3 linked regions of the Arabidopsis thaliana genome follow. The protein of the gene in region 2 purifies or fractionates together with the protein of the main gene of each other region. This does not show direct contact. Each region holds a gene or a part of one and is shown on either strand. Other genes may lie near its edges.

Region 1 (5,873 bases), on a different chromosome or scaffold from region 2:
GTCCATCACATACTTGAGTTGGAATTGTATGTTTCTCTTGCACCACTGGACTGGCCATGACAAGGAAGACTAGGATATGTTCTAATAATATATTTCCTGTCCTAGCTAGAAACCTCTGCTCTCGGTTTCTAATAATTCTCGGTAACAGGATCCAGCGACTCCTCTGAAAGTTAGAGAAAACTTGTGAGGAAGAAGACTCAAAATCAATTTCGCATTTCTGGCTTTTTGTGATTACGAAGAGTCTTATACTTAGCCAAATATCTGAAGGTTTAGAAGAGAACACGTTGCATCTTACTGTTCACTGAAGATAGCAAATGTGTTTTGTAGAATCATCATAAAGCTTCGTAGGGAGCTTCTTAAGATAGGAGGAAGCTTCTGTTTGATCCCGAGGCTTTGAATTTCTTGACTCTGCTTCTGTTCACTTCAAACACTCTGTTTGAGCGGGACTGGTTGCATGAGTATTGTTTATTATGCGATAATTCACCAAAGACTAATCAATACATATCAATGGTCATCATTTGTCTATCAAAGTTGAGGAACAATAATATGGTGTCTCAATCTGAGAAAGACTGTTTCTTTACTTGTTTGACTTTATTGTTTTTGCAGAAGAACCAAAATGAAAACTCTGTAGAACAAAATTTCGACGAAAAATCGTTTTTTTTTTATCTCTAAAAGCTACCCAATCAAATGGAAGAGAAGGCTGAAGTGATAAAAGAGAGAACCTTGACCAACATCAGTCAGGGATTAACTTAGCGGTTCAAGCGCGTGAAGTTATCGAGCCAGTCCATGTTTACACTCTTTGGTCTCTCAAGTGGCAGTCCAAGTGCCCTGTCCCATATCAGCTGAAACAGAAAAGGAATAAAAGATTAGTCTGACTTTATTGTGAAGGATATGGCGATACGTACTAAAATCGAATTGTCGATGGCATGAATGTATGTATGTACCTGCGAGCAGATTCCAAGACTTCTTGAGACGCCAAAAAGCACCGTGTAGTATCTATATTTGAAAGGAATGTCACTCTATAATAACCAAGATTCAGCAAAACAAGGTCAAAGCCTCGATACACAAGTAGTTCCTACCTTGCTTCGGTTAGACCATAGTAGTTCAGAAGCACTCCGCTATGAGCATCAACGTTAGGCCACGGGTTCTTGACCTGATACAGCAATTTCAAGATTCATAAAACCAGAGAAAATCAGAAAATCTGGTAGCACATGAAATGAATGAGTATAAGTAGTACCTTTCCCAGCTCGGTTAGAATAGGAGGCACCACTTCATAAAGTTTTGAGACCTATAGACTTGCATAATTTGTGAGCCAGTAAAATTTTAAAGCATGACCAAAGATTTGAGGGGGAAAAAAAGTTACCAGCTGAAAAAGAGGATCATCAGGTAGATGCTTCAAGGCAAACTCTCTTTGGCATATATATCTTGGATCCGTTTTACGCAAAACACCATGGCCATATCCTGGAACAACCTGCAAGACAAATGTTTATTTAAGTTTCCTGACAACATTCACAGGCAAACCCCATAATCAAAACATAATCCGAAGCTTTTATTCATTATTTATACAATAATTCAAGTTATGGCCTGTCATGATTAGCATGCAATACATATGGATAGTTTCAAAAGGCAAAGCAGAGCATAATTTTGTCAACCTTGCCACTGTTTAACGTTTTCCAGACATAATCTTTTAGCTGTTCCTTTGATATACTTTCTCCACATTCCTCAACAACTAATTTGATCCACAGCAAAACTTCCTACAACAAGACAACGAAAAAAAACAGAGTAAGATTCCAAGTTTAAGCTTATAATTAAGAGTCAATCTTAGAGTTCAAGTTATATACACTTGTAGATTCGAACAATATAAGACTCATTAAGGATATAAATACCTGATTAGCCAAACCATGGAGTGGCCCAGCTAAACCATTCAATGCAGCAGCAAATGAAAGATATGGATCTGAAAGTGCACTCCCAACCTAAGTGAAGAAACATCATTAGCCAAAAACAGAACCATCAGAAATGTCTATAAGTTCAAAACATTATCATGCATCAAGATCATGTGGCAAATACATACCAGGTGACCAGCGTGAGCACTAACATTTCCACCTTCATGATCACTAAAACAGAAACCAGTAGACAAGGGAAAAAAAAACCTTGATCATGCTATAGAAATTTGGTAAGAGTTGGTAAAATAAAGGAAGATCATCATTATATACAAGAAAACTTTAGCTTATGTATTCTAATTAATGAGACATGTTGAAACGAAGAGAACCAGGACTAACCTGTGGATAGTGACATAAAGCCTCATGAGCTCTTTCATCTGAGGACTATCAAATCCCAGCATGTGTGAAAAATTTGCACCATAATCCAAAGAATCATCTAATGGAATGATGCTACCATCCTTGTACATCCTGCAATGTGAATTAGAATGGACATTGAAAAATAACACTCTGAAGAAAGGAAAATCTAAGAAAATTAACTAGTCCAGGAAGCTAAAAGCATTGGAAAAGATCCTAAAATTTAACCTCCGATAAACGTATGAAGCTACAACAGGAACACGAGCAATCAAGTTTAGGGCATCTTCGAAGGTTGGTTCCCAGTACCTGACAAGAAACCTCAGTTTCTATGATGCCTACTACTATAAGCCAATCAAGAAACAAAGTATAGAACTATTGAAAGTTTATACTTTGACTTAGAAATATCACCCTGCTCATACGCCTTTTGAAACTCACTTTGAACCTGAATAACAATCAACAAGATAAGATGCTCCTGAAAATAAACAAATTCTAAGAGAATGCATAGAAAAAAAAAATAGTACATAACAGAGCAATCCACCTGAAGGGCCATAACACCACTAGCAAATTGAGTCATTGGATGAGCTGTTGAAGGCAAAGCATCTATAGCTTTGTATATATAATCTGCAATGGAGAGTTGTTATATTTGCAACATCATAATATCCAGTTTATAATTATCATCAGCTTGTATTTTGCTAAGTTTTGATGAGTCATGAAACTGAGGTCATAAACAAACAGAGCCTAGAGGTGAACTACAAACCTGGCACAGCCGCACGATGAGCCAACTCTGTTGACAAAGCATTAGCTTGCTCTTTAGTTGGCACCTATACCGAAAGGAGGGAAAACTATACTTTAGATCATTCATATATAAAGTTGAAACTTATTGTATGTATAAAATGTTTTAAGATTATCACACCTTTCCAGTTAATAGAAGCCACAGAAGACTCTCAGGCAAGGGCTCTTCTCCAGACTCAGCTGAAGGTAATATTTTCTGACATTCAGGAATCGACATGCCTCTAAACCGTATTCCCTGATACAAAAGATAATATCATATGTTATATAATTCTAATTCAAGATCTGACCTGAAAATTATCTATGTGATCAAAATTATAACCATACCTCATCTGCATCAAGCAATGAGGTTTCCCAGAGTAATCCAGTCATCCCTCTCATTCCACCAAGTACCTTCACAAATACCACATGTAAAACTATATATACGAGTATGTTTAAAAGATAAAGCCTTTGTGTAATCACAAATATCATTAGAATCCGTACCATATCAACGGTGATGTTCCCCACTGGAACCTTTCCTTGTTCTGATTTCAGTTTCTTCAAACGGTCCTGAAAGTTGAAAGTTGTGTTTGTGTATGAGAAATGACATCAACTAAAACAGAGAGAAGAGCTTGATCTCTACATGAAATCTGCCCTAAAATTAGAAACAATCTCAATCACAACGAAGTAGAAACTAAACCTGTTGTTCTGGAATGATCTCTTGCATCTGCGACTTCAAGTCCTGCATTACCATCATTTTAAGCAACATCAACACAAAACCTAGAAGGTAAAATTCCAAATTTTTGGTTCTCAAACTGAACCGCATGATCACGAGAACATGAAAACCTAAGAAAGTACCAATTCAGAAGAGTGGAGCCATCTGACGGAGTTACTAAGTGAGGATTGTTGCACCTGTGCTTCTTATATTAGATCTGATCATCAAATTGTATCACATCAAACAAAACACAAAAAGGATGAAAGCTAAATCTACTCACTGCTCGAGACCGTAGTCTTGAAATGGCTGATACGCTGCGAAAAAACACCATTCTTTCAAACCTCACAACACTGATCGGTTACGAATCCAAACAATCAAGATTGGCTTAACCAGATAAGAGATAAAGGGAAAGAGAAAGCGTGGAGAAGAACTAACGGGAAATTCGAAAGTTTCTTCAACGTAGAGAGAAAAATTGAGAGATGTTGAGATATATCTGCAACGTGATGAACAAGCGTCAAATTACAACATATGTAAACCAAACACACGGATTCTTCTTACCAAACCGGTATAATGAACCAATTGATTACCATTTAGAAAACCAAACGAACAGGTTATGTTCGGGTTCGGTTGAGATTGGTTAGTTCCGTCGGTCCGTGAGACGCAAGATTCGAAGCAGCCGTAACGATTCTAATGCCTAAAAAAACGGTCATTAATAAATAAAGAACAAATGGTATGTAGCTTTTGCTGTTGCTAAATAAAAAAGTAGCTTCTTGGTAAAGTCCAAGGGTTTAGATAAAACATAATTTTATTTTGTTGGAAATAAATAAAGTAAAAATGACATTTCACAATTGAAAAAAAAAGTTATAAACTTCGTTATTATAATTTCTTGGTCGAATGGGCGGTTTGATATTCTTCATTCTCCATTAGTTATCAGAAATTTTTATATTCTTTTGAAATACTATTTAATGATGTAACACAACTATTAACAATGATGGATATAGCTATAGCTAGTTAATATTAAAACATTGGATATCATATTATATGACACTATTGATCGTTATGTCATCCAAAAAATAAACTGATATTTCAATGAATGAGATTGGAAAAATATGACATATATCCATTACAACTCATTATAATCATATTACCATATCATTTTAATGTTTATGAAATGTGAGTCCACCTTTCATAATCTAACGTTTTGAGAAGTTAAAATGTAATTTAGCCATAAAGTTTTGAAGGTATATATCAAGAACATCGCCAATAAAACAGAACTTTATTCATTTATATATTCAAATCGAAACTCTTTTAGAGTCATGTAAGAATCATTTATCATTATAGTATTTCGTTAATTCAGTTTAATGGAATTCATTTTTGTTTTATCAAACAATTTGTTGTAAGTAACATGACTTATATATGAATTAACAAACAAAATAATTTGACGAAAAAAAATGAACAATCTAAAAAATTCAATCACAATATCATTCTCGCTTTTCTATATATAAAACTTGCACACGCACGCGTGAGTACAACGTTACACCATTTTTAAGTAGAGTTTTCACATGATCGGAGATCAAAACACAAACTTACTTTTTCTTGGCAAAATCAGTCTACAAACTCATCACTACACTCTTTCTTGGTAAATTAAGTCAGTCTAACAAATTAAATCAAAGGGCACCCAAGCCCAAAAAATCCAAACATTTGTACATATATACAAGTTATGTATGTTCCTACCTATATAGATGATCATCGTCTCAACCTTGGTCTTGTCTTGACCCATGTCTTGTTATGCTCCATATCGAATAAATGATCAAATCATCATCAAAACCAACAGGACTTACGATTAGTAGAAACCCTACATATTAGGGTAAGGTGTGACCAAACTAATTATTGTTGTTGAAGATCAAACCATCGACTTGAGAATATGTTGTCGTCTTCATCAAGATCGATCAAACCGTCAAAATCAAAGTAAGTATTTGTGTTTGAACTTGATCCCCATTCTTCCTTCACCACGTGGCTCCCTATTATTCTGTTGTCCAGTTCAGCCGTATGTTCTTGGCCGGAATCTTGAGGCAAACCCGGTGGCGCAGGAAAAT
Region 2 (5,447 bases):
CTAGGTATTTCATAATTATTGGTATGAACCCACAATAATTAATCACAAACAACATGTCGTCAAAGGAAAAACGCAATCACACAGGAAAAAAATGATTGAACTAAATTTCAATTATCTTTTTTTTTTGTCAACAACTAAATGTAAGACGTACGAATTTGTAAACATTAGAAGATAAGATTTATAACATGGTACGTTTCTGCTTGTGTGAAAATTACTAAATGACATTAAAGAAGGTGGATAGAGAAGTGACTAGACATCAGATAATGCATCTGACTGAGATTGATAAGTTTATGTTGATCCTCTTCATTGTCTTCATGATATTTATCATTTGGTACACATAAATTCCCAATTTTTTTTTTGGATTTAAACCGTCTTTCTCGCCCTAAAAAAACTCATCTTTTTATCATTTATCTTAGAATTTGTCAAACAAACAGTGTTTGGCCTATGTCCAACTTTTTTTTGTCTAAGAATTTTTTTATTTATTTTCAGTCCATAGTTAAATTTTTAGTTTAGTTTGAACTTTAATAGAACCCGATTGGTTTTACAAAAACAATCGGTTCAATTTTGGTTTATCGGTACAATCATGACTCAGAGATCTGAGAACCGACTAAGTCAATTACAGAGAAAAAAAGACCGAAGTTCAGACGAAACAACATGAAAAGGATTTGGTTTTAGACTTTTAGTCTTAAAACTAAAGTCTCTTATCTTGTAGCCCAAGTCTCAGACATGATGAACAACAAGCCACGAAAAAGATAAAGAGGGCAGGAAGATAAACAGGGTAGTGTTCAAGTAACATGGACACTTAGTTCTCTTATTGATACAGATCCTTATTGATGAAGAGAAAAGCTGTGTATTTAGACATTAGGAGGTGGCCAAATCTTCCCGAAAAGCTCTTCAACACGTTTCGCTTGGTTCGCATAACCTTCAACACCGGCTGATAAAAGCTCCACTGATGCAGGACCCATAGATGAAGCCAAGCTTAGCTGGTCCCATTTGACCAGCTAAACCAGAATCAAACAAACAGGGTGAGACACTGGTTTAGTGAAACCAGAAGCAAATGAGTGTTGGTTAGCTTCAGAACTAACCTCTTTGTTGGTGAAGTGGTAATGTGTTGCAGTTTCAGGAGTAAGTTTCCGAACAAATGAGTATTTTTCATCATCGGGAATGGCGGGTGAATCTTTAAGAGATTGCAGTACCTTTAATGGTGCAATGACATAATCGACCCTGAGATTGAAGAGAACATTGAAAGTTAGAATGTGATCAGAATCCATTGATGGTCGAAGCTATGATTTGGAAGTTTGAGTTTACCCGAGAAGACTGAACAAGTCTTGTTTGTTCCGGACAGCAGCAGCCATCAGCTTGGACTTGTAACCATACTTGTGAATGTAGTTATATGATCTTTTGACCAAGGCCAAACCAGGATCTTCTCCCGATTTAATAGCAGATTCAATCTCGGTATCTCCCGAATGATTACGCGCCCAATCCTAATGATTTTAAGATATTAACTTTGGCATATCACTGAAATCACTTAGCAGCATCTGTTTAAAAAATGGTTACCCTGAGGCGACCGACGAAAATCTGAATGACAGAAGCACCGGCTTGAGAAGCTGCTGCAGCTTGTGCAAAGCTGTTGATGAATGCAAAACGAAATTATAAAGTAAACAAATCAGATGGATAGACAATTCTAAAATAAAAGAGTCAAAAGGTATGTTTTATGGTACCTGTAAACAAAGGTCATATGCGTTTGGATTCCCTCTGATTCCAACAATCTTGCAGCTTCAATACCCTATGAGAGGGATAAGCACAATACTAAGAGACCAGTAAAAGGTAAAGCTTTGGTATTTGCTGAAAATAATCTTACTTGCCAAGTTGCAGGGATTTTGAATAGGAGCCGGTCGTGTGGTACATCGATTTCATTGTATAGTCTCAGCAGATCATGAACCTACACACATCATCACATCACAAGTTAGTGATTTGAAGATACAGGAGACATATAATCAAATTATCTTATATATATGGTGTAGTAACTACCTTGCGGATAATGCCATTTGTGTCATAAGCAAGACGTGCATCCACTTCAGTAGAAACTCGACCTGGAACGAGTTTGACAAGATCGCCACCTACGTTGACAATAGCCTGCACTTTTCTCATCAGTAATAAGGGCAAAAAAAGCTTTTAAGCAGCAAAGATCTGGAAGTGGAAAAACAGATAAGGGATAAGAAGATCAACCTTATTGAAAAAGCAAGAGAGTCGAGATTCTGTGGTTTCAAGCCCTGCACAAGAAGAATCCGCCAAAGCCATGTCCACAGCATTCTAATCATGATGTAAAAATGTCAAAATTAAATGAGCCCAAAACAAGAGATGTCATATACTATCATCTAAGAATCAAAACTCTTGAAATGCTTACGCGGAAAATGGTATCAGGTAGACCACAGATACCCAGAAGAAGAGCAGAGCTAACAGTAGCTGCAGTCGGCGGAAACCTGCAGATCAGTAAAATACAACAAAGGTATCAATCCAGCACAATTAGAAAACCAAAAGGTTATACTATCTGGTTTTCACAATAACTAAAGGTTAGAAGTTATACTTGTGAGGGAGTGAGTTTTTACATCTTAAGCTAATTTCTTTCTTGTATCCTCGATCCAGAGAAAAACTCAGTACAATCTCAAGTTAAGAATGTCTGACTCCATTTTTATGATATACCAGTGTAACTAAAGTCTCATGAAGTAGAGATATATATCATACCTCTCAAAGTCATCGAAAACGACAGTATCAGGAACAATCTCACTAAAAGCTGAAACAGCATTTAGCTCATTGTTCTCACCTGAAAAAAAAAACACAATTTCATCAAACAACTCAATGATCATCTAAAAGCATTCCAGAAGAAATAAAGTTGAGAACTTTAGGAAAACCGATATCATCCAAGAACAATGTTAAACACCAAATACACAATTTGTTTCTTCAAATTCAACCATAAATCAACACTGTTCAGCTAAGAACTAAAGCAACCAGAAGGTCCTGAACTAAGAAAGGTAAACCAAAAATAGCAACTTTGTCAAGCATAGTTTCCTAACAAGTGACTCAAGACAGTATAAAAACAAACCCACATAAAAAGAAAGCTTGAATCGTAGTCAATCTTTCAAAAACCCATACTTTTGTTTTGTCTTTCCAGAAATCGTATTTATTAATTAATGAGAAACACGATCATCAAAGATATAAACAAATACCAGCTTCGAGAGACGAAGACGCAGGAGAGGAGGAGGAACTAGCGGAAGCAAGAATCCGAGGAATCGATCGCCGAAGACTGAAGTTAACGGCGGGAAGAGGAGTAACGGAGAATCCGGCGGCGAGCGTCTTCCATCGTCCCTTCTGCGAAGTTCAAAGCTCGCATCCATTAGATAAAAAACAAACAATGCACAAATACATGCGATTGAAAGAAGTAAGCGAAGAGGAGAGTACTCGGATTGAAGCAGAGAGAGTTGCACAAGGCGGAGATTGCAACGAGAGTGGCATTTTTTTCGCTGAAGTTGATCTGAGTAAGCAGATCCAGCCGTTGATATCTTCCAATTAACGTGGGTCCCGCCTTTTCTAATTTATCCGAAAACTGTCAACGAGATAAGACAGTTAATTATTATTTTATTACAATGGTTAGGAACTTGCAAGTTTTTATTCATTTTCTCATGAGTCTCTGTGTAATGTTTCTATGAAGCCGAAACAAACACTCATCGTTTAGAGAAAGAGATAAGTACAAATCCAATGATCACTAACCAAAAGAACGATGAGAACGGTTATGCAAACAAGAAGAGACAAGGAAGAGATTTACACACCGGCAAATGTCTTTAGACCATGACAACAAAAGTTTGTAGAAGAAAGTGAAGTTCATTATGTTTCTCTCCACCGCCACCTGGATGAAGGTAAGAAACGGAGTTGAGTTGCTTGGTCCTCCCATTCAACCCTTTCTATCCATTCTCTCTCTCCATAATATATGACAAGTTCTTCACCCGCGATCCCACTTTTAGAATCCAATGGAAGCTTTCTCAGCTTTTCACATTTTTCTACGTGGATAACTTTCAGACACGGAAAATGCAGAGCCTTTGCATAGATTCTCTTGAGCCCGCGTAATTCAAACAGGTGTAGTGTCTCCAATTTCCTAAAAGGAACAATCGTAGCTGAATGCTCCTCAGCTTTCTCTTCACTAATTATATCCTCTACTTCCTTTGAGAACCCAACTTCAAGAAAAGTAAGATTAGGAGCAAACAAAAGCCACGTCAAATCCTTAAGACCATGGCATTTAGCTATAAAGACTCTGGAGAGGTTTGAGAAGCATGGAGTTGTGGGACTTTTGTTCCGAGACGATGATGAAGTTGTCCTCTCTATCTTTATCTCCCTCATTCCACATCTTTTTATCCCGAGCTTGCGGAGATTACCCATGGTTGGCAAAGTCAATACTCTCACTGATTCTTCCTTAAGGTACTTAAAATCTACCTCTTTTATACATTCCACCAACCTTTGAGAGCATAACAATGGCTCTGCAACCAAACTTGATGATATATCTAGGGTTATAACTTCTAGATGTTCTAAGAGCTGCAGCTCCTTCACTAAACTCATATCTAGCAACAGTCTGGAATCTCGTAGTCCCAATGTCCTCAAATTCCACAAATTTGATATCCCTAATATACTCCCAAGACTGCTCATGTGTTCGAGATTCAGATGTATTAGCTTTTTCAATGTCCATAAACCAACGGGTAGTTGATGTATACATGTATATGACAAGTTGAAATATCTCAAAGAGGCCAGCTCTGATATTTCTTCTGGTAATTCATTAAGACTCTGATTCTCTGATAGATCTAAAACCACCAGATGAGGCATACATCGAAAGAATTCAGCCGAGATCTTTACCACGTCGTTCTTTTGGAGAAATAGAGTTGTAAGTGCAGCACACTCGTGACTGTCAAATATCTCTTCAATCTCATTATTCATCAAAGAAATCTTTCTCACAGTGTTCCAATCCTTGACTTTTGGTACTTCACGTAACCCAACACCAGCTCGCACAATACATTTCTCCTTTTGCTTCCCAAGATCGGATGATATCCATAGAGCCATCTCACGAACCACATCATGCATTTTCACGTTTGATTTGTTCCTTTCTTCCTCCAACAACAAACATGCACGGACAAGGGTACCAATTATCTCATAACCTTGGTTAATATTCCTCTCTCTGCCTTCTTTTTCATTTATGAATCCCTCACTTATCCAGTAGTCTACCAACCCCTCTTTATCAATAAGATAGTCTTCAGGAAACAGAGAGCAATAGAGGAAGCAGGATTTCATCAGCTCCCCATTTAAATTATCATAGCTATACTTCAAAACATGGAGAATTTCATCTTCCATACCTGAAAAATCTATGGCAGATGATGTTAAAACGTCAATGGCATGACACCATTCAT
Region 3 (6,830 bases), on a different chromosome or scaffold from region 2:
ATTGACAAATACAGATGATTTTGTTGCCTACTGATGATTTTTGTTTCTTAGGTAGAATCATTGACAAATACAGAAGAGGTTGAGCTACGTTCTAAGATTGAAGCTCTTGGTTTAGAAGTCACTAAAGTGCCATCAAAGTCTGCTCAACACCTCAATGAGGTCTGTATCCTGTGTTCACTCATATATCTGGTACACATTGTAATGTAAATCTGAGGCTTTGTGTGTGATTGTTTGTGTTTTCAGGTGGAGATAGCTAAGGAATTGGACAAGTTATCAGCAAAGTTAGATGATGTGGATGAGATGATATCATCAGCTATAGCTTCTGATCCACAGGTTCAGACGCTTCTTAGCGGCACAGCTGATGTTTGGATGCCGGTTATCACTGCCGGCGCCGAAGAGAGACTCAACTTCACAGCCTCTCTTGCTGATGATGATGACCTTTCTAACAAGGAGACTACTACCGACAATACCAGCAGCTCTTAATCCCATTTTCTTTTTGATAAACTCATGTCGAAGTTTTCTATTTTGCAGTCTTGTTTCTTTTATGTATATCAAAACCAAGATAAGCTTTAATTCATGAGTGATATTGATGTTTGATTTTTACGCAAACTGAATACAACTGTTTATTTATTATCACGAGTTTCCCGGAAATGCAAATTTGCACCAAGCATGTGTTTCTCAGGAACAATTTCTACATGAACAAATGTTTCTTCTGTCAATAGAAGGTAAAAACAAAAAAAGCTATCCAGTGTGGAAGAGAATGACTTTTGTTGAAACACGAGAGAGTGCGACAACTCAGGACTCGGTGGTGACTTAAGCAGATGAAGCTTTCTTACAATGGGCTTCAAGCCAGTCCATGGTAACACTCTTTGGCCTCTCAAGTGCAAGTCCAAGAGCTCGGTCCCATATAAGCTGTGAATTAAACACAAATGAGAATGGAGAGCATATGAGTTCTGTTTTAAATGTTATGTAGTAACAAAGGCGTAATGTGTAAATATATATATGTTACCTGAGAGCAGATGCCAAGACTCCTTGAAACACCAAAGAGCACGGTGTAGTACCTATAAAACGCACAGATATTATATTTGAGTGCTATCCTAAGGCTCAATGATACTTGAAGGAGGTGTCTACTTCTTACCTTGCTTCGGTTAGACCATAGTGGTTCAGCAAGACCCCACTGTGAGCATCAACATTTGGCCACGGGTTCTTCACCTGTAACAAGCCATCATCGGATTCGCAAGTAAATAAAAAATTGATTCGCAAGAGATTCATAAGCCCCTAGCATGTAGGTAAGGTGTTGTGGAGTTGTTGGTGGAATATTGAAGGATCACCATGGTAAACGAAGGATAGAGATACTACCTTTCCAAGCTCAGTGAGAACAGGAGGCACAACTTCATAAAGCTTTGACACCTACAGAGTTGGAAGGATTTTGTTAGCTACTGAACATTGATAGAATTTTGAGAACCGAACAGAAAAGAGAAAAGAGAAAGAAAAAAAGTACCAGCTGGAAAAGAGGGTCGTCAGGTAGATGCTTCAAGGCAAATTCTCTTTGGCATACATATCTTGGATCAGTATTGCGCAGAACACCGTGACCATATCCCGGAATAACCTAGAGACAAAACAAGACTCGTCAATAGATCATCATTAGACTATCCTTGTAACATTACATCCACAAGGTAAACTAGGATAGGGAAAAACAGGATCCAAAGCTCTTATGGCAGTATTACTTACTAGGAGCAGTTAGAGCAACTGACCAAACTATGAGGTCGTAAATAAGAGGACCCATAACAGTATCACACAATAAATTGAAATATTAGCCTATTATGATGACTAGTAGACAAGATGTTAATTCATTTTCGCATGCTCCATCAGTCTTGTTGGCTGGCTTCAAAAGTGGGATTCAGGTACAAGACCAGAAAGTAAAGAATGTCAAGGCAGAGGAATTTCCTGTTTTTACCTTGCCACTGTTTAATGTTTTCCAAACATATTCTTTCAACTGTTCTTTTGATATATCTTCTCCACATTCCTCTACGACTGATTTGATCCAAAGCAAAACTTCCTGTTGAAACAATAATAAAAAAAGACTAAGAATTTGTTTTCTCCAATTTATGGTTGTATCATCAAACTATCACAACCTACCTAGATAAAATACAAAAAGCCACTTACGAAGCTCTATTGTAGATTGAAGATTTAAGACTTATTCAAGATATAGACAAGGGAGGATACCTGATTAGCCAAACCATGGAGTGGCCCAGCTAAACCATTTAATGCAGCTGCAAATGACAGATATGGGTCTGAAAGTGCACTACCAACCTACATGAACAAGAATTTTTAGCAAAAGAACCATTAGAAACTTCAGGTAGGTCAATCCTTTAAAATTGACACATGGAGAGTATATACATACCAGGTGACCAGTGTGAGCACTAACATTTCCACCTTCATGATCACTAGAGCAAAAAATAGTAGAAAAGCAAAATGTTATACAAAGGTCTATTTAAAGTCTTAAAAAGAACAAACAAATTTACAAGATAATTAAGCTTATTTAAGGAGACATGCATGGGTGACGAAAATTAATACAGACCTGTGGATGGTGATGTAAAGCCTCATGAGCTCTTTCACCTTTTCATCATCAAATCCCAACATGTGGGAAAAATTTGCACCATAATCCAAAGATTTATCTGAGGGAATGGAATCACCATTCTTATACATCCTGCAATGATGCATGGAAAAGGTCAACAGTCAATACAAAGCAAAAACAAGAGATGGCAAATTTTCCAATAAAAAAAAAATCATTGCCGAAAATCCAGAAGCTACAAGAAACATGAAAAAGAGTACAAAAAGAGTCTTCACTAACCTTCGATAAACATATGCAGCTACAACAGGAACACGAGCAATCAGGTTGAGGCAATCCTCATATGTTGGCTCCCAGAACCTGGAAGAAAAAATCTTTGTTATGATGCCAGCTAATATGAAACGCTATCATGAACTAAATCAGAACCCCAAAAGCATACTTTGACTTATGAATTCCATTCTCATATGCCTTTTGAAACTCACTTTGCACCTGGATATTAGGTAAAGAAAATTATCATTCTGCTGAAAATTGTTTACTTATAGCCAAAAAAAACAATAAGTTTCCAACGCTTATCACAAGAAGAACAGAAACAACAATACGAGTTTAGAGAACCACACCTGGAGGGCCATAACACCGCTAGCAAATTGAGTCATTGGATGAGCTGTGGAAGGCAGAGCATCGATGGCATTGTACACATAATCTGTATAAAAATTGGATACAAGTTAAGAATGAATGAAAGTATAACACAAAACCCACAAATTTATTTCATTTCTGTTAAGCAATTTCTTGTAAGCATTGATGTCAAACAAGTTTGAATGAGCCAATAAACAGACTCCTTTATTTGCAACAGCCAGAGCGAAAAAGGTAATATCCAAACCTGGCACAGCAGCACGGTTCGCCAAGTCTTTCGACAGTGCTTCAACTTGCTCTTTGCTAGGTACCTATACGAAAAAGGGTAAAAAAGGATATCATAAGATAATCTATTGAGGAAAACTAATCGACTGGACATATCCAGAACCAACTTATAATAATGTACAGAAGAGCCACACCTTTCCAGTTAAGAGAAGCCACAAAAGACCCTCCGGTAATGGTTCAGCTCCAGACTGGGCAGTAGGTAATACTTTCTGGCACTCAGGAATCGACAATCCCCTAAAGCGAATACCCTGAAATAATGATAAGATAATTGCATCAACAGCCTTAGAACAGGAAGGAGGAGCATTTGATATATTCTATATCTAGGATCTAACCAAGCTATTGTAACTATATACAGAGAGTTATACAGTACCTCTTCCGGGTCAAGCAATGAGGTTTCCCAAAGCAATCCAGTCATCCCTCTCATTCCACCAATAACCTTTATTTCAAAGGGGATTATGATGAGTTATGCAATGGAAGGTGAAAATCATATAAACAAACCAAAAACGTGAAAATCATGATTGTTTCTACCATATCAACAGTGATGTTTCCCAGTTGGACCTTCCCATGTTCTGACTTCAGTTTCTTCAGACGGTCCTGAAATTGGAAAATTCTTGTGAGAAAAGAGGAAACTAGAAAAGCAAAGAGATTCACTACAACTAGCCTGCCTTCTTAACTTAACAATCTCAGCTAACATAACAAATAATACACACATTCAATGAAAAAAAAAAGTCAACAACACAAATTTTCATTTAAAGCAAACAGAGTCTAATCTAACCTGCTGTTCCGGAATTAACTCTTGCAGCTGCGACTTCAGGTCCTGCATTGCCACCATTTAAACAAAATGAACAAAGACCCCACAAGCAGCAGATCCCAAACCAATATTAAACTTACATATGATCATGATCATGAAAACTACATGATCACGATCACACACGAAAGTACGAAGCAACGGAGATGATTTACCAGGTCGGTAGAGCTCTGCATCTGAATCCATCTGACAGAATTGCTGAGTGAAGATTGTTGGCCCTGCTTACATAGATTCGATCACCAATCAATCGATTAGCATGAACCAGCGAGATCAAACGAGAACAAACACAAAACTGGAAACAAAATTTTCAAATACTTACGACGCGAGACCTCAGCCTAGTAAAGGCCGATACGCTGCGGAAAAACACCATTCTCCAAAACTCAAAACCTGTGACAGACAGTATCCACCCAATTCTCAAAACAAATCGATCCGTGAAAAAACTCAAGCAATCAACACTCACCAAAATCAGAAACAAACAAAAAAAGTTTTATCGCCGAATCAAATAATTCAACAAAACTCAGAGATTCGATCAGCGGAATTCACCGGCGAATTCAGATTCCAGAAGAAGAGAAAAACAGGACTAGATTCTCCGAAAATTATGGAAGACCAAAAGGAAATGAGAAACACTATGAAGAAGCGAAGAAACATACCAGAGATTCGAGAGCTTCACGGAGATCGAGAAAAAAAAAAGCGATTGTTGAAAAAAATACTAAAAGCTGCGTCTGCGTGTGATGTACAAAATCAATCGGCGAAAGGTGAGCAAATGACATTTGTATATAGCTGGAGCAGGTTTATTACTAAATTCCAATTTTGACCTTCGAGTACTTTGAGAAGGCAAACCAAACTAAACCGGTATTGGAGAAAATAACCTTTAGGCGTATTATTCCGGTTTTATGAATCTCAAAAACAATTTCGGTGTACCGGTGTGGTTATTTTCGGCAATTGTTGATAATCATCATTTATTTCCTTTGCCTTATTTACGGTATTGTTGATAATCATCATTTATTTTTGGTTTAAGAAATCATACTAATATTTATGTGAGCTTTTCAAGCAGCCGGAACGTTTCCAAATCTAGAAAAGTCAGGTTTGAAATTGTCCTTTACAATGTTTTCATCCAATATTATGCAACCAAAACCGATTTAGACTAAAACAAATAATCCCAATGCCTGAAAAAGTAGACTAATTAATAAGTATAACATGTGCAGAACCTTACAAAATAAGATAAAATAAATGTTGACGTTCGAGAACTTTGAGAAGGTAAACCAAACTAAACCAAAACACAGAAGCAAGGGAGTAAACCGTAATCATATACCTTTTCGTTCTTTTGGAAACCAGACCGAATAATTTGGCTTTATATGAAAAGGTCAACGGACACTAAAATCTCAAAACAATTTTGGTGTACCGTTACGGCTATATTCGGTTCGGATCAATTTTCTTTGCATTTTGTTGATAGGTTATATCATTTTGTTTTACTTTATTTTGATAAAAGGGTTAATATTACTCACTGTTGAAAATGATATATTATACACGTACATCAAATATGAAAACACGTTATTTATTTTAGTTGAAGTACTACATGTATAATAAATATCATTTTCAACATTTGTAACAAAAGATTAGTAAACAATAATAATAAAAAAAATAATTTAGCTTGAGCCAGAATATTCTTGTTAACTTACAGTTTAATTTAATTAGTGTAACTGTACTTTAACCGAATAACCGTTATGTAAGTATCGATATTCAATATACACAATCAATCAGAGTATCTATATCGAAAACAAGTCGATCCTTGTTCTAATTCCATACAAACTTTTTCCCCAAAATTAAAGTACAGCAATCATCACATTTATCTGCACACCAAAGAATTAATACACATCCAATAATAGCACATCAATGAAGTTACATAATAAAACTAGGGCTTTTTTGACCGACCACATCTTAATTAGATACAGCCACTTCTCCTAGAAGGGCTGCACGTAGATTAAACTCTCTTCATCACAACTCTCAACCTTGGCAAAGTCAGTCCCGCCAAAAGTTTATGTCTCTCATCATACCCATTTGTTATATCTATATACAACTTCTATGCCTTTTTTCTCCCACAAAATATGACCTTATCGTTGCGATTAGATCTCATCTCACCAAATGCGATTTGCAGAATCAATAAGATTGAAAACCCTAGAAATTAATCTGTTATTAATTAAGACGAATTATGAGCCTTTGTATCGAAGTTGGTGTTGTTGTTGTTGTTGTTGTTGTTGTTGTTGTTGTTGTTGTTGTTGTTGTTGAAGATGAAACCTTCGACTTGTGAAGAAGAAGAGGATCTCATGGGAAACGAAGAGAAGTAATCTTCTCCGACATCTTGAATTAAACCTTCTAGATCAAAGTACGTGTTTGTGTTCGAAGTACTCTGATCACCTGATCCCCACTCTTCTTTCACCTGGTGGTTTCCTCCGTTTGCTAGTAAACCGGTGAAACCCGAAAGCCTGTTGACCGGCTGATGATCATCGCAAACCGGTTCTTGGGGAGTCGTAATTC

Evidence for each region.
Region 1: the proteins of AT1G12230 (region 2) and CSY5 fractionate together in Arabidopsis thaliana (co-fractionation; one large-scale study listed by BioGRID). This does not show direct contact.
Region 3: the proteins of AT1G12230 (region 2) and ATCS fractionate together in Arabidopsis thaliana (co-fractionation; one large-scale study listed by BioGRID). This does not show direct contact.

What each region holds. Positions count from the first base shown.
Region 1 is NC_003074.8:22,191,123-22,196,995, reverse strand, and holds CSY5 (citrate synthase 5), read right to left. Parts: upstream 4,267-5,873; 5' UTR 4,109-4,266; coding exon 4,058-4,108; intron 3,975-4,057; coding exon 3,921-3,974; intron 3,805-3,920; coding exon 3,763-3,804; intron 3,633-3,762; coding exon 3,567-3,632; intron 3,477-3,566; coding exon 3,411-3,476; intron 3,322-3,410; coding exon 3,208-3,321; intron 3,116-3,207; coding exon 3,052-3,115; intron 2,916-3,051; coding exon 2,833-2,915; intron 2,737-2,832; coding exon 2,684-2,736; intron 2,601-2,683; coding exon 2,523-2,600; intron 2,409-2,522; coding exon 2,280-2,408; intron 2,115-2,279; coding exon 2,072-2,114; intron 1,974-2,071; coding exon 1,887-1,973; intron 1,755-1,886; coding exon 1,653-1,754; intron 1,472-1,652; coding exon 1,364-1,471; intron 1,289-1,363; coding exon 1,238-1,288; intron 1,154-1,237; coding exon 1,080-1,153; intron 997-1,079; coding exon 945-996; intron 843-944; coding exon 750-842; 3' UTR 549-749; and 1 more. Other genes in the region: AT3G60090 (VQ motif-containing protein), read right to left, coding at 5,665-5,873.
Region 2 is NC_003070.9:4,146,116-4,151,562, reverse strand, and holds AT1G12230 (Aldolase superfamily protein), read right to left. Parts: upstream 3,602-5,447; 5' UTR 3,514-3,601; coding exon 3,460-3,513; intron 3,370-3,459; coding exon 3,228-3,369; intron 2,825-3,227; coding exon 2,746-2,824; intron 2,654-2,745; coding exon 2,588-2,653; intron 2,484-2,587; coding exon 2,408-2,483; intron 2,314-2,407; coding exon 2,230-2,313; intron 2,137-2,229; coding exon 2,032-2,136; intron 1,943-2,031; coding exon 1,862-1,942; intron 1,787-1,861; coding exon 1,722-1,786; intron 1,628-1,721; coding exon 1,558-1,627; intron 1,485-1,557; coding exon 1,309-1,484; intron 1,225-1,308; coding exon 1,086-1,224; intron 1,002-1,085; coding exon 855-1,001; 3' UTR 507-854; downstream 1-506. Other genes in the region: RPS5 (Disease resistance protein (CC-NBS-LRR class) family), read right to left, coding at 3,883-5,447.
Region 3 is NC_003071.7:18,314,508-18,321,337, reverse strand, and holds ATCS (Citrate synthase family protein), read right to left. Parts: upstream 5,061-6,830; 5' UTR 4,946-5,060; intron 4,919-4,945; exon of another isoform or gene 4,756-4,918; intron 4,683-4,755; 5' UTR 4,666-4,682; coding exon 4,615-4,665; intron 4,517-4,614; coding exon 4,451-4,516; intron 4,305-4,450; coding exon 4,263-4,304; intron 4,082-4,262; coding exon 4,016-4,081; intron 3,924-4,015; coding exon 3,858-3,923; intron 3,736-3,857; coding exon 3,622-3,735; intron 3,514-3,621; coding exon 3,450-3,513; intron 3,273-3,449; coding exon 3,190-3,272; intron 3,062-3,189; coding exon 3,012-3,061; intron 2,933-3,011; coding exon 2,855-2,932; intron 2,711-2,854; coding exon 2,582-2,710; intron 2,448-2,581; coding exon 2,405-2,447; intron 2,314-2,404; coding exon 2,227-2,313; intron 2,060-2,226; coding exon 1,958-2,059; intron 1,610-1,957; coding exon 1,502-1,609; intron 1,411-1,501; coding exon 1,360-1,410; intron 1,213-1,359; coding exon 1,139-1,212; intron 1,062-1,138; and 5 more. Other genes in the region: AT2G44360 (ecotropic viral integration site protein), read left to right, coding at 52-159, 244-483; AT2G44340 (VQ motif-containing protein), read right to left, coding at 6,493-6,830.